3 linked regions of the Tribolium castaneum genome follow. The protein of the gene in region 2 purifies or fractionates together with the protein of the main gene of each other region. This does not show direct contact. Links are inferred from orthologs where the notes say so. Each region holds a gene or a part of one and is shown on either strand. Other genes may lie near its edges.

Region 1 (3,313 bases), on a different chromosome or scaffold from region 2:
TTAGCAAAAACGTGAAAATCAAAGACGAAGGTGTGAAAAAACTGGGGGATTTGGTAAGTCCGTGCGTATCAGGCGAAAAAAGGCACATTTTAACTGTTATCTCCAGTTGGTTAGCGAGATCGAAAGCGGGAAATTGTCCAGTGAGAAGTTCAGTCAAGTGAAACTGCACCCAAAATCCGACGATCCCAAAGCCCTTGACTGGTTATTTGTCGTGGACACTCTGAATTTTTGCTTCTGGCACTTAGAAACCGAAGCTGGCTGGACTGTGGAGGGCTACACTGGTTATTTTGCCCTTTGTGCGGCTATTAATCGAGCCGTGAAGGAAAAAGTGGATATTTTGAACTCGAAATACTACTCTGAAGTGTCCGAAAAAGACCTTGCGAAAATATTCAGAAGCGACAACGATGTCCCAATTCCACTCCTCCAGGAACGCGTCAAATGCTTGCACGAAGTTGGGAACGTCCTTCTTGAAACTTTCGACGGTTCGTTTGAAAATTGCGTGAAAAAGGCTGACAAGAGCGCTGTGGCCCTTCTGGACCTAATCGTCAACAATTTCAAGTGCTTCAAGGACGAAGCGACTTACAAAGACAAGAAAATTGCGATTTACAAGCGGGCGCAGATTTTAATTGGCGACATTTGGGCCTGTTTCAAGAACGAAGGACTTGGGCACTTTAAAGATATCGATGAAATAACAATGTTTGCGGATTATAGAATCCCACAATCTCTCCTATATTTCGGGGTGTTTGAGTACAGCGAAGATTTGAAGAAGAAACTGCAAGACAACAAAATTCTCGAAAACGGGGAAGAGGACGAAGTGGAGATCAGAGCTTGCTCCATCCATGCGGTCGAGCTGCTAAAAGAACATGCCAATAAAAAACTAACTGATACGAAAATCAATGCCATTTTGATCGATCACTTCTTGTGGGACTTCAGACGCGAACATAACAAGGAAATCGTGGAGAAGAAGTTGCCGTTCCACAAAACGTTCTCCATTTATTACTAAATCGAACGACAATATCAAGTTAAAATTGGAGTTGACCGAATCAATGTGCTAATTTATTAGTAATTAATCGAAAATTTCAGGGAGCGGTTGGCCATGAAACTTTGATATGGCATTTTGGTGGTAGTCATGGTTACAATTGTTACAAACCGAACCGTACTTTTTCATTGCCAACTATGCTGTCATGTTTTATTTCATATCAGTAATTTTTAAGATTAATCGTGTCAATGTTTTTAAAGTTAAAGTATTAGATTATGATTGAAAGAATATTCTGGAATTTTATTTGCCCTCGTCTCCCTACCCATGATCCTCTGCCGACGTTTCGCGAAAGCCAGCCAGAGGGCGGAGGAGCAGCAAAGTGACGTTTGTTGTTTATTTCAAAAGTGCAAGTGTTTTATTGTTGTATTTTCTTGGAGGAATCAAAATTCGCATTGGCGTCATGGTCGATTACAGCAAGTGGAAGAATATTGAGGTAGTGAAGTCTGGGAGGAAAAAATGAGGTTAGGTGGTGCTTTGCAGATTTCCGACGATGAGGATGAGACGCATCCAAATATTGACACCCCTTCACTTTTCCGGTGGAGGCACCAGGCCAGAGTTGAGCGCATGGAAGAAATGAAGAAAGAAGCGGAAGAAATCCAGATAAAGAGGGAGGAAAATGCTAAGAAGGTCTCGCAAGCCAAGCAGAAGCTGGCGGAAGCCGAGAAGGCCGGAGATGCGAATTTGAGGGAACTTAAGGACGCTCTGGCCGCGCTGGAGAAGGAAATGGAAGCGATTAAGAAGAAACAGGAAGAACACGAGAAGAAAGAAAAAGTTTGTACGAATGTTAGTTCTTCTAATGTTTATTTAGTGATTTACAGATGGCCCCGTGGAATGTGGACACAATTAGTCAGCCAGGTTTTGCAAAGACTGTTATTAATAAGAAAGCTCCGAGACCGAAGGACGAACAATTAACGGATGAAGAGAAGGAAAGTCGCATGAAAAATTTTGTAAAAGAAAACGAGAAGAATTTGAAGCACTTTGGAATGTTGCGACGTTATGAAGACTCTCGGGCTTTTCTCAGGGACCACCTTGAATTGGTTTGCGAAGACACAGCTAATTACCTCGTCATCTGGTGCATCAATTTAGAAATGGAAGAGGTAAGATTGTGGCAAAAAATGTATATTGGCAACACTGAGTTGTTGGGGTAAATTATGTATTGTTCTTTTAATTAGAAACATGACCTTATGGAGCACGTGGCGCACCAGACCATCTGCATGCAGTACATCCTAGAACTAGCCAAACAATTAGACTACGACCCTCGCGGCTGCGTGGACCCCTTTTTCTCCAAAATCCAAATAGCTGATCCTCTTTACAAAAAATCGTTTGACGATGAATTAGACCAGTTTAAGGAGAGGATCAGACGACGCGCAGCTGAGAAGATTGAAGAGGCCATAAAAGAAGCAGAGGAGGAGGAGAGGAAAGCGAGGATAGGGCCAGGAGGGTTAGATCAGCTTGAAGTCTTGGAAAGTCTTCCCGAGAATTTACGAAAATGTTTCGAGACGCAAGACATCCAAATGTTGCAAGACACAATCAAGGAAATGGATGAAGAAGAGGCCAACTATCACATGAAGAGGTGTGTTGCTGCGGGTCTTTGGATACCTGATGCCAAAAAGAAGGAAGAAGAAGAAGCTGGGCCTTCTGATGAGCAGTCAAAACCCTAAAGTCACTTGCTTTACAATTTTTGTTATTTAGCCTTTATTTCCTAAGAATGCAAATTTATTGTATTAATTTATTAGGAATGCTTGAAGATTAATAAATTTCTTTACTTTATAAACTTGACGTAAACTTTCTTATACCCATCCCAATTCCCGCATTTTCTCTCACTGACTTAAATTAATCATCCACTTGAAAAAAATAATAGCCAAACGAATTTACAGTTTCAGTGGCAGATATAACAATCAACGTTATTTAAAAAAAATATTTGGTAAAACCCGTTCTTTTGAAAAAGCGTAGTTACTTTTGTTCACCGATGTTGGTGTATTTTCGCGTTTCCCATATTTCGTGTTCTGACGCATCACTTGACGTGTCGCAACAACAAGACACGACAACACCACATAAAAAATTGAAAATTTAACCAGTCAGTTAAGATTATGGCCCCAAAAGAAAGCAAAGAAAAGGATGATAAGGTACAGTTTAAATGAATGAACACGTAATTTGCACGCTTGTTATTTAAATACGGAAAAAATTGTAAATTTGGCTTCATAACCTATTGTTGCAGCCTGTTAAAATAAATAAATGGGACGGTTCAGCTGTGAAAAATGCCATAGACGATGC
Region 2 (2,962 bases):
GGAAAATTAAATAATACCTGAATCGTAGAAGATAATTCACCACAACTTTGTTCCTTAGAACTGTTTTTTCTAACTACACCGCTAATAATGCCACATTAACTAATGAACAAAAATCAGCTTTTCATACAAAAATTCTCATGAAAAAGGAAGCCTCTACTGTAAAAAACTTATTTATCGAAGAAAACAACAATTATATGTTATGAAGATTGGTTAGCAGTTTTCAGTAGAGCAAGTTCTAAATTCTTCTTTACACTTAGTTAGAAATAATTAAGGGGTTGCATTCCTAAACATTTTTCCCTTTACATTCGAAACTGAGAAATTCTTATTTCTTGCCTTTAAGTTTTTCAGGTTTTACTAAGATAATTTTACCACAAAAAAACAAAAGTTGTTTGGGCTTAATCTACATTTACTTGACGATATTTTAAAGCAAATACAATGTTTAACTATTAGTTTATCACAGAAACAACGAATATATTTTCAAAACTTTTAGTGAATATATTAAAAAAACAAGACGTGATAGACAAATGTGAGATATATTTTAGTTATTACGTTATTAGTGAGTGAGAAGAAAACAAAATCAGTATAAATTATTTCTTGGTAAAAGAAAAAATTTTTTGTAAACTAGTTTAATTATCATAACTAATCATAGGACCGGTTTATAAAAACGTCATTAATTTAATCAGTTATAAAATGCGTGATTAACTGATTACGTGACCAAATTGAAGTCATTTGGTTGGTTCATTCGCGTTGTTAACTTTTAACAACGAATTCAATTTTAACAGAGCCTTTTATAAACCGGCCCATAAATTTAAAAAAATTAATAATATTTGAGAGTTTAAAGCAGCGAAACCGCTTTAAACACAAATCTAGCTTTTTAGAAAGCAAATTTTTTTAAAATAAGATGAAATGTTGCACATTACGTGGTTTTGCTTTGTGTATTTAAGAATGTTTCTTAATAAAAAAAAATGTTGTTTAAACAGACTCTCATTGTTGGGTTTTCTATAGTTTTTTTGTCAGAAACAAGCATATTAATATTGATATTTTACACGAAATAGTCAAAAAAGGTTCAAATTAGACGTAATTCTTTTCTATTACACATTTTTGTTACCGATTTACTTTCTAAAAAAAGAACAGTTATTAATAGTAGGTTGACCACAATTATGGTGCTGTATATGTGGTTGCATACCAAATTAATTTTTTTTATCAAATTCATTTTTAATTACTTAGTTATCCGACTTTTTCATTCCTGTTTGAAAACTTCCACTGCAACTTCATTCTTTGTTTGTTTGATCATTGTATTTATTTAAAATTTCTCATTTTTGAACCCTCGAAATTCCGAAGGTTGGTAGCTTTGGCTTTCAACCCCTCATAACCTCAAACCGGCAATTTTCAAAATAATGTGATAAAAATGTCGAATAAACTAACCCGTTACGAAAAAATCGAGTTTCTGGGCGAGGGCCAATTCGCCACGGTGTACAAAGCCCGCGATGTAGAGACCGACAACATCGTCGCAGTGAAAAAAATCAAAATGGGGAGTCGTCAAGAGGCCCAAGACGGCATCAACCGAACAGCCCTTCGCGAAATCAAACTCTTACAAGAACTGCACCACCGCAACGTAATCGGCCTCTTGGACGTCTTCGGACACATGTCCAACGTGTCCCTTGTGTTTGATTTCATGGACACGGATTTGGAAGTTATAATAAAAGACAACACGATTATTTTAACAACTGGCAACATAAAAGCCTACATTATTCAAACGCTGCAAGGGCTGGACTACTTGCACCGAAACTGGGTCCTTCACCGGGACCTCAAGCCCAACAACCTTCTGGTGAACTCCAACGGCGTGCTCAAAATCGGCGATTTCGGGCTTGCGAAGCTCTACGGCTCCCCAAACCGCATCAACACGCACCAGGTGGTCACCAGGTGGTACAGGTGCCCCGAGCTGCTCTTCGGGGCAAAGTTGTACAGCACGGGGGTGGACATGTGGGCTGTGGGGTGCATCCTCGCGGAGCTCCTCCTGCGAGTGCCCTTGTTTCCTGGCGAGTCGGACCTGGACCAGCTGACCAAAATTTTCGCAGTTTTTGGAAATCCGACCGAGGAGAATTGGCCGGGGCTGAAGAGTTTGTCCGATTACGTCGAATTTAAGCCGTTTACGCCGATTCCGTTGAAGAATATTTTCACAGCCGCCGGTGATGATCTGCTTGATGTCTTGGAGGGGCTTTTGGTGTTGAATCCGTTGAAGCGGTTCGAGTGCAGCAAGTGTTTGGCGATGCCGTTTTTCAGTAATAAACCGGCGCCGACGCCGGGATCCAAGTTGCCGTTGCCTCAAAACATCAGAAAAACTGAAGTGGAAAGGCCTACTTTGAAGAGGAAGCTGCTGGATGCGGTGGAGGGAGGGTCGCTATCTAAACGATTGTTTTTCTAATTTTTTTGTAAATAAATTATTTTTTAGTAAATAAGAATTCAGTTATTAAAAAAAGTTATGCGTTGTTAAGGGGGAGAATACCTACTCTAAAAAGCGTCGAATTTCATCTATTTTCCTCGCTGTTTTACAGCCCTTCTTAGTAACGTTTTTGAAAGTTATATATTCTTCTACTCTGGCTATAGGAGAGAAACTGTTTTAAATGCTGTCAGTGCTTTATTTAATTCAGAAAAAAAACCTGAAAATTGACAAAAATTTGGTGTTTTTTGAACATTATTTCCCTTTGATATAGAGTCTTAAAGAGAAAATGAACTACTATTGGCCCTCCCTGTAATGGACTGTCAGGAATAAAGTGGCTTTTGTTTTAACTCGAAAATATGAATCGTTAACTTGTAAAACTCTTAAAATGAATTATACTGAAAAAGACGTTTTTACGAAAATTTTTGAAAAGCTTAAAATTTACATCGTCATATTTTCCTTCTGGATTAAGCTAGAAACTTCTTTTTTTTGCTGAAACTCTGGCCCGCTTACGTAGAGTAC
Region 3 (4,060 bases), about 17 Mb from region 2:
GGCCTGGCCAACGTCATAGTGAACGAAGACATGATCACAGGATGGAAGTTCAAAATCTTGGGGTACATATCTAGAGGGGATAGGGTTCCAGAGGTTATAACCACGGTTTGAAACCGATCAAAAACCGGTTTTATGGCAATCGACGAATCCAAACAACTGAAATGTAAGATCGGGTTTGACACCGTCGGTGTCTTATCATCAAACGGTTCTACGATTATCGTAAAACCTTTCGTATAAGTGGCCACCAAAGTGGCCAAATGTGTGACTAAAATGACCGGACTGAAGTCGGTCAAGTCTGATATTTCCAAAGTTCTCAACAGAGATGCCAAGCGTTCAGCACAGAAACGTAACGGTTTTCGTTCAATACAGACTTTGGATTGGACGTCTTTTAAAAATCCAGCAGGGCTTTCTTGCACCACGTGCTGGACTCGCAGCCGAGTTTTGAGGTATTCGAGGAAACGTTTCAGGAAACTGACAAAGTGCTCGGCGTTGCGAATATTTCCAGGGACGGCCTCTGAAAATTAATAAATTACGCAATTTAATTTTTTTTCGAATTACTGACATAATAAATAACAATCAGCCCAAAAAATTAATTCGGAAATGGCAATATTTTTGCCTCTGTCTAGCATTTAAGTGCATTTTTGAGCTACAAAATTCTTCTCAAAGCATTACTAAACCAGGCGGACAAATCACAAAATATCATCGAAAATGCGATTATTTTTGCATTTTCCGAGCATTTTGTATGGTTGTTTTAGCCTGAAGTTCAATGATTTCGAATAATGCCCTCAAAAATAAGACAAAAAATAAGCAAATAAGTTTACTTTTGAGAGATTTCAGCAGAAAAAAGATTCTTATTTAATCGAAAATGACATTATTTTTTGCTTTTTTCATGTGTTTTTATTTAGAAACAGTTATTTCGTTGAAGATTGTTTCGTTGAAAAATATTCGACTGAATTAGGTCAACCAAATTTGGCTTTACCGAGTGTTTACCAGGTTTATGAGAAAAAAACAAGGTTTTCCTCCAAAAAAATTCGTTGAAAAAAGGATGAAAATCCAGGAAAATATATCGCAATTGATGCTACCTATTTTATTTATTTATTGTCAGGTCAGGTCAGGTCAGATCTGTTTAGTTTTTTAACTTTGTTAAACATGTTTAAAAATTATACACAAATCGAAAATTATACTATTGAGTTTGTTTCATTCGAATGACCTCGTTTTCGAGTGAAATTTTGCTAAAAATAAGTTAAAAATTATCAAACTTTGAAAACAGTGTTATTTTTTAAATTCTCAAGCTGTTAAGTACAAAGTTTTTTGGCTAAAAATCACTAAATTTCTTCATTTTTGTCAACGCATTAAGCTGTGTCTATATCACTCAGTGTTGCCAACTTAATTTCAACGTCACGGAATATATAAATCTAATTCGGGTATTACCCTGGAGGATGGCGTCGGGCAAGACCGGATTGGCCAAAATGACGTCAGTGTCTCGCGCCACGCTAGCGTCGCGCAGCCCCTCAACTAATCTCTGATATTCTTCTTGCAATTTTTTGTGATCGTCTTCACGCATCCTAAAAAATTTTAAAAAATCCAGAGAAAACTTAAACTTCCGGGGATTTACTCGGCCACAGTACGTTCCAATAACTGGATGTTGGCGGAAGCTCGATCGATAATTCGTTTGTTGATTTTCACACTCATTGAGTCGATGCAAACATTATCGATATTGTGAGCCTCATCGAAAATAACAACTGACTCTCGTGTCAGCTCTTTGGAGACGACTTCGGCGATCTTGGGGTCTAGTAAATAGTGGTAACTGTAGACTACGATATTCGCGTAACTTATCTAGGAAAAAGGGTCAGAAGTGCAATGTAAAGTGTGACCTCAAGTACCACAAAACGAGACAGGAAATAGGGGCACCAGTTGCGGTCCCGTCCGTACTGTTTCAAATCATCTATACTGTAAACCCCAAACGGCATCGTACTTTCTTTGCCATCCAAAGCGAAACCTTCGTAATACTGACAAATGGGAGTTGTATCATCGTAATTGTGCCTCTCCCTTATGTAACTCGCCGTTAGTGCGTGGCATTTTCCGTCCACAATCTTACCCTCGCGCTCAGTACTCACCTGAAATTTGCAAAATCAAGCCCGGTTATGCACCCCCAAATCACCTACTTCCGGGTGAATACATAGATTCTTCCGTGAGGACAAAACCAGCCCCAGGAGATGGGGGTACTCCCCGTCCAACTTCTCATAATACTCGAGCAGTTTTTTCAATTCTTCCATAACTTTCTCGATTTCGGGGACAGTACGAGAGCAGTAGATCAACTTGCGGACGTCATGGGGGTGCTCGAGCATGTATGCAACAACGAGGGAGAGAATGGTGGTGGTCTTACCCGTCCCTGAGGGCATTTCCAAAAGGCAGTGGCCCTAAAATTAACATAAAAAAGGGGCTGTGAAAGGCGGGGAGCGTACTTTGGCGTCCAGGGCCCGCTTGAGCTCGCACATGTAGGCATACTGCTCGGGGTAGATGTAGTCATAGGGGAAGTACACGATTAAGCCATCGACGTTTAGTCTAAAATTTTCGGTTTTGAGGCAACTCAAGTGCCAATAGTCGGGTTCTTACTTCATTTTTTGTATGGTGCTGGGTGAAACCGTGGTGTTTACATTGACCCGGTAGTTTTTTTAGGTTATGGCATGTTTGGAAAAAAGTGCGGTTATGCAATTTTTTGTAATATTTTCTAACAATAGGAACGTTTCTATTGCTGCTAATCGATTAGTAAGGAAGAAGGGGGCCTAAAAATTTAAGTCCTGTGAGCTGGAACCACGTATTCTATCAGTTATTCAAAGATTCTATAATAAGTAGGGTTATGTAATGTATTCAAGTATTCAAGAAGAAAACACCTTTTTATTTGGAAAATATTTATTAAAAACTTTATTGAATAAATTAATGGTTTTGTACAACACAAAATCAATCACACTTTGTCTTTCACGATAATTTTATCACCATTTTGCATTGAGTAAACTCCGATTTCTTTCATTTCATCCTCTAGAAGAATCTCGATTTCTGGATCGCTCTTGCTGGCGTAAATCAAGTGGGGCCTTCCACTCAAGCTGAACATTTTCTGTGTGAGGACTATAAGTTTTTGCACAGTCATTGTGAGAGGCACTTTCTTTTCTACCGTAAAGTCCTCAAAAACTATACTTAATTGGACCAACGTATTTTTAATAATTTTCGGTTTTGAGACAAGTTCACTCTCTTCCAGCTCGCCATATTCTGCAAAAATAACCGTAAAAACGTAACAAAAAAAATATAAACAGACTTTGTATCAATTCCAAATATCTGTTGTGGGTTTTGAGAAAATCAGCCTCTTTGTTGGTACCCTTGGCGTCCAACCATTCAAGACCGTACTTTTTCATGTAGTCGTATTCAGCCCCCCGTCTCTCAGTGGCTTCAATCTCAACCCCATTTAAAATTTTCAAGTTGGCAATTTTTGCGATTATTATTTGATGGATAGTGTCAGGTTCTTCCGATTCTGTGATGGGGTTTTTGGAAAATCGCAGATTTTCTAAACTTTCAAGCCGATTTAACTCAGCCACAGAACGCCACTAAAATCAATCCTCTCATGAACGGAAACGAACAAAGTTTCAGTCTTACCTCACGGATCAAGTTTTTCACAACACATAATTTTTTCATCGCTCTGAAAGCTTGTACTTTGGGGGAATCACCCTCAAACTCAATCAACTGGAGCCCAATATTCTCCAGAATAAGTTGCTCCAAGTGCGGTAAATCCCCCAATTTGCAGACCTCCGTCCAAAACTCAATGTTATTCCCTTCAAGATCGAGCAACTTTAATTTGGTGAAAAACCCCTCAGGTGTGCTAAGCCCCCGGATTTTGTTATTCGGAGCTCTGAACTCTTCAACTGACGGGAAAATGCGTCCAAGTTGGCAAATGTGCCCCCAGTCCAAGTCCATACACCCACAAATCAGAGTTGTCACGTTTGGAAAACTCTCACTAATCGTTGGCAAGTCCAGCAAATTCTCACTAACATTCAGCCAAAAAAGCCTC

The links. The genes of interacting proteins can lie anywhere in the genome.
Region 1: the proteins of Cdk7 (region 2) and Cdc37 purify together in Homo sapiens (affinity purification with mass spectrometry; 3 studies listed by BioGRID and IntAct, counting the BioPlex papers as one, with this or other methods). This does not show direct contact. The link is inferred for Tribolium castaneum from reciprocal best matches to the Homo sapiens genes CDK7 and CDC37.
Region 3: the proteins of Cdk7 (region 2) and Xpd purify together in Homo sapiens (affinity purification with mass spectrometry; 10 studies listed by BioGRID and IntAct, counting the BioPlex papers as one, with this or other methods). This does not show direct contact. The link is inferred for Tribolium castaneum from reciprocal best matches to the Homo sapiens genes CDK7 and ERCC2.

The regions. Positions count from the first base shown.
Region 1 is NC_087398.1:2,272,901-2,276,213, forward strand, and holds Cdc37 (hsp90 co-chaperone Cdc37), read left to right. Parts: upstream 1-1,312; 5' UTR 1,313-1,439; coding exon 1,440-1,472; intron 1,473-1,519; coding exon 1,520-1,810; intron 1,811-1,857; coding exon 1,858-2,136; intron 2,137-2,211; coding exon 2,212-2,700; 3' UTR 2,701-2,813; downstream 2,814-3,313. Other genes in the region: queuosine 5'-phosphate N-glycosylase/hydrolase, read left to right, coding at 1-53, 107-1,003; Spase25 (signal peptidase complex subunit 2), read left to right, coding at 3,130-3,165, 3,258-3,313. UniProt on the Homo sapiens protein: Co-chaperone that binds to numerous kinases and promotes their interaction with the Hsp90 complex, resulting in stabilization and promotion of their activity. Inhibits HSP90AA1 ATPase activity.
Region 2 is NC_087394.1:10,696,180-10,699,141, reverse strand, and holds Cdk7 (cyclin-dependent kinase 7), read left to right. Parts: upstream 1-1,220; 5' UTR 1,221-1,408; coding exon 1,409-2,425; 3' UTR 2,426-2,462; downstream 2,463-2,962. UniProt on the Homo sapiens protein: Serine/threonine kinase involved in cell cycle control and in RNA polymerase II-mediated RNA transcription. Cyclin-dependent kinases (CDKs) are activated by the binding to a cyclin and mediate the progression through the cell cycle.
Region 3 is NC_087394.1:27,625,936-27,629,995, reverse strand, and holds the start of Xpd (general transcription and DNA repair factor IIH helicase subunit XPD), read right to left. Parts: upstream 2,801-4,060; 5' UTR 2,622-2,800; coding exon 2,617-2,621; intron 2,566-2,616; coding exon 2,466-2,565; intron 2,421-2,465; coding exon 2,166-2,420; intron 2,118-2,165; coding exon 1,884-2,117; intron 1,837-1,883; coding exon 1,616-1,836; intron 1,566-1,615; coding exon 1,432-1,565; intron 515-1,431; coding exon 1-514. Other genes in the region: Tbce (tubulin-specific chaperone E), read right to left, coding at 2,966-3,267, 3,314-3,599, 3,649-4,060. UniProt on the Homo sapiens protein: ATP-dependent 5'-3' DNA helicase. Component of the general transcription and DNA repair factor IIH (TFIIH) core complex, not absolutely essential for minimal transcription in vitro.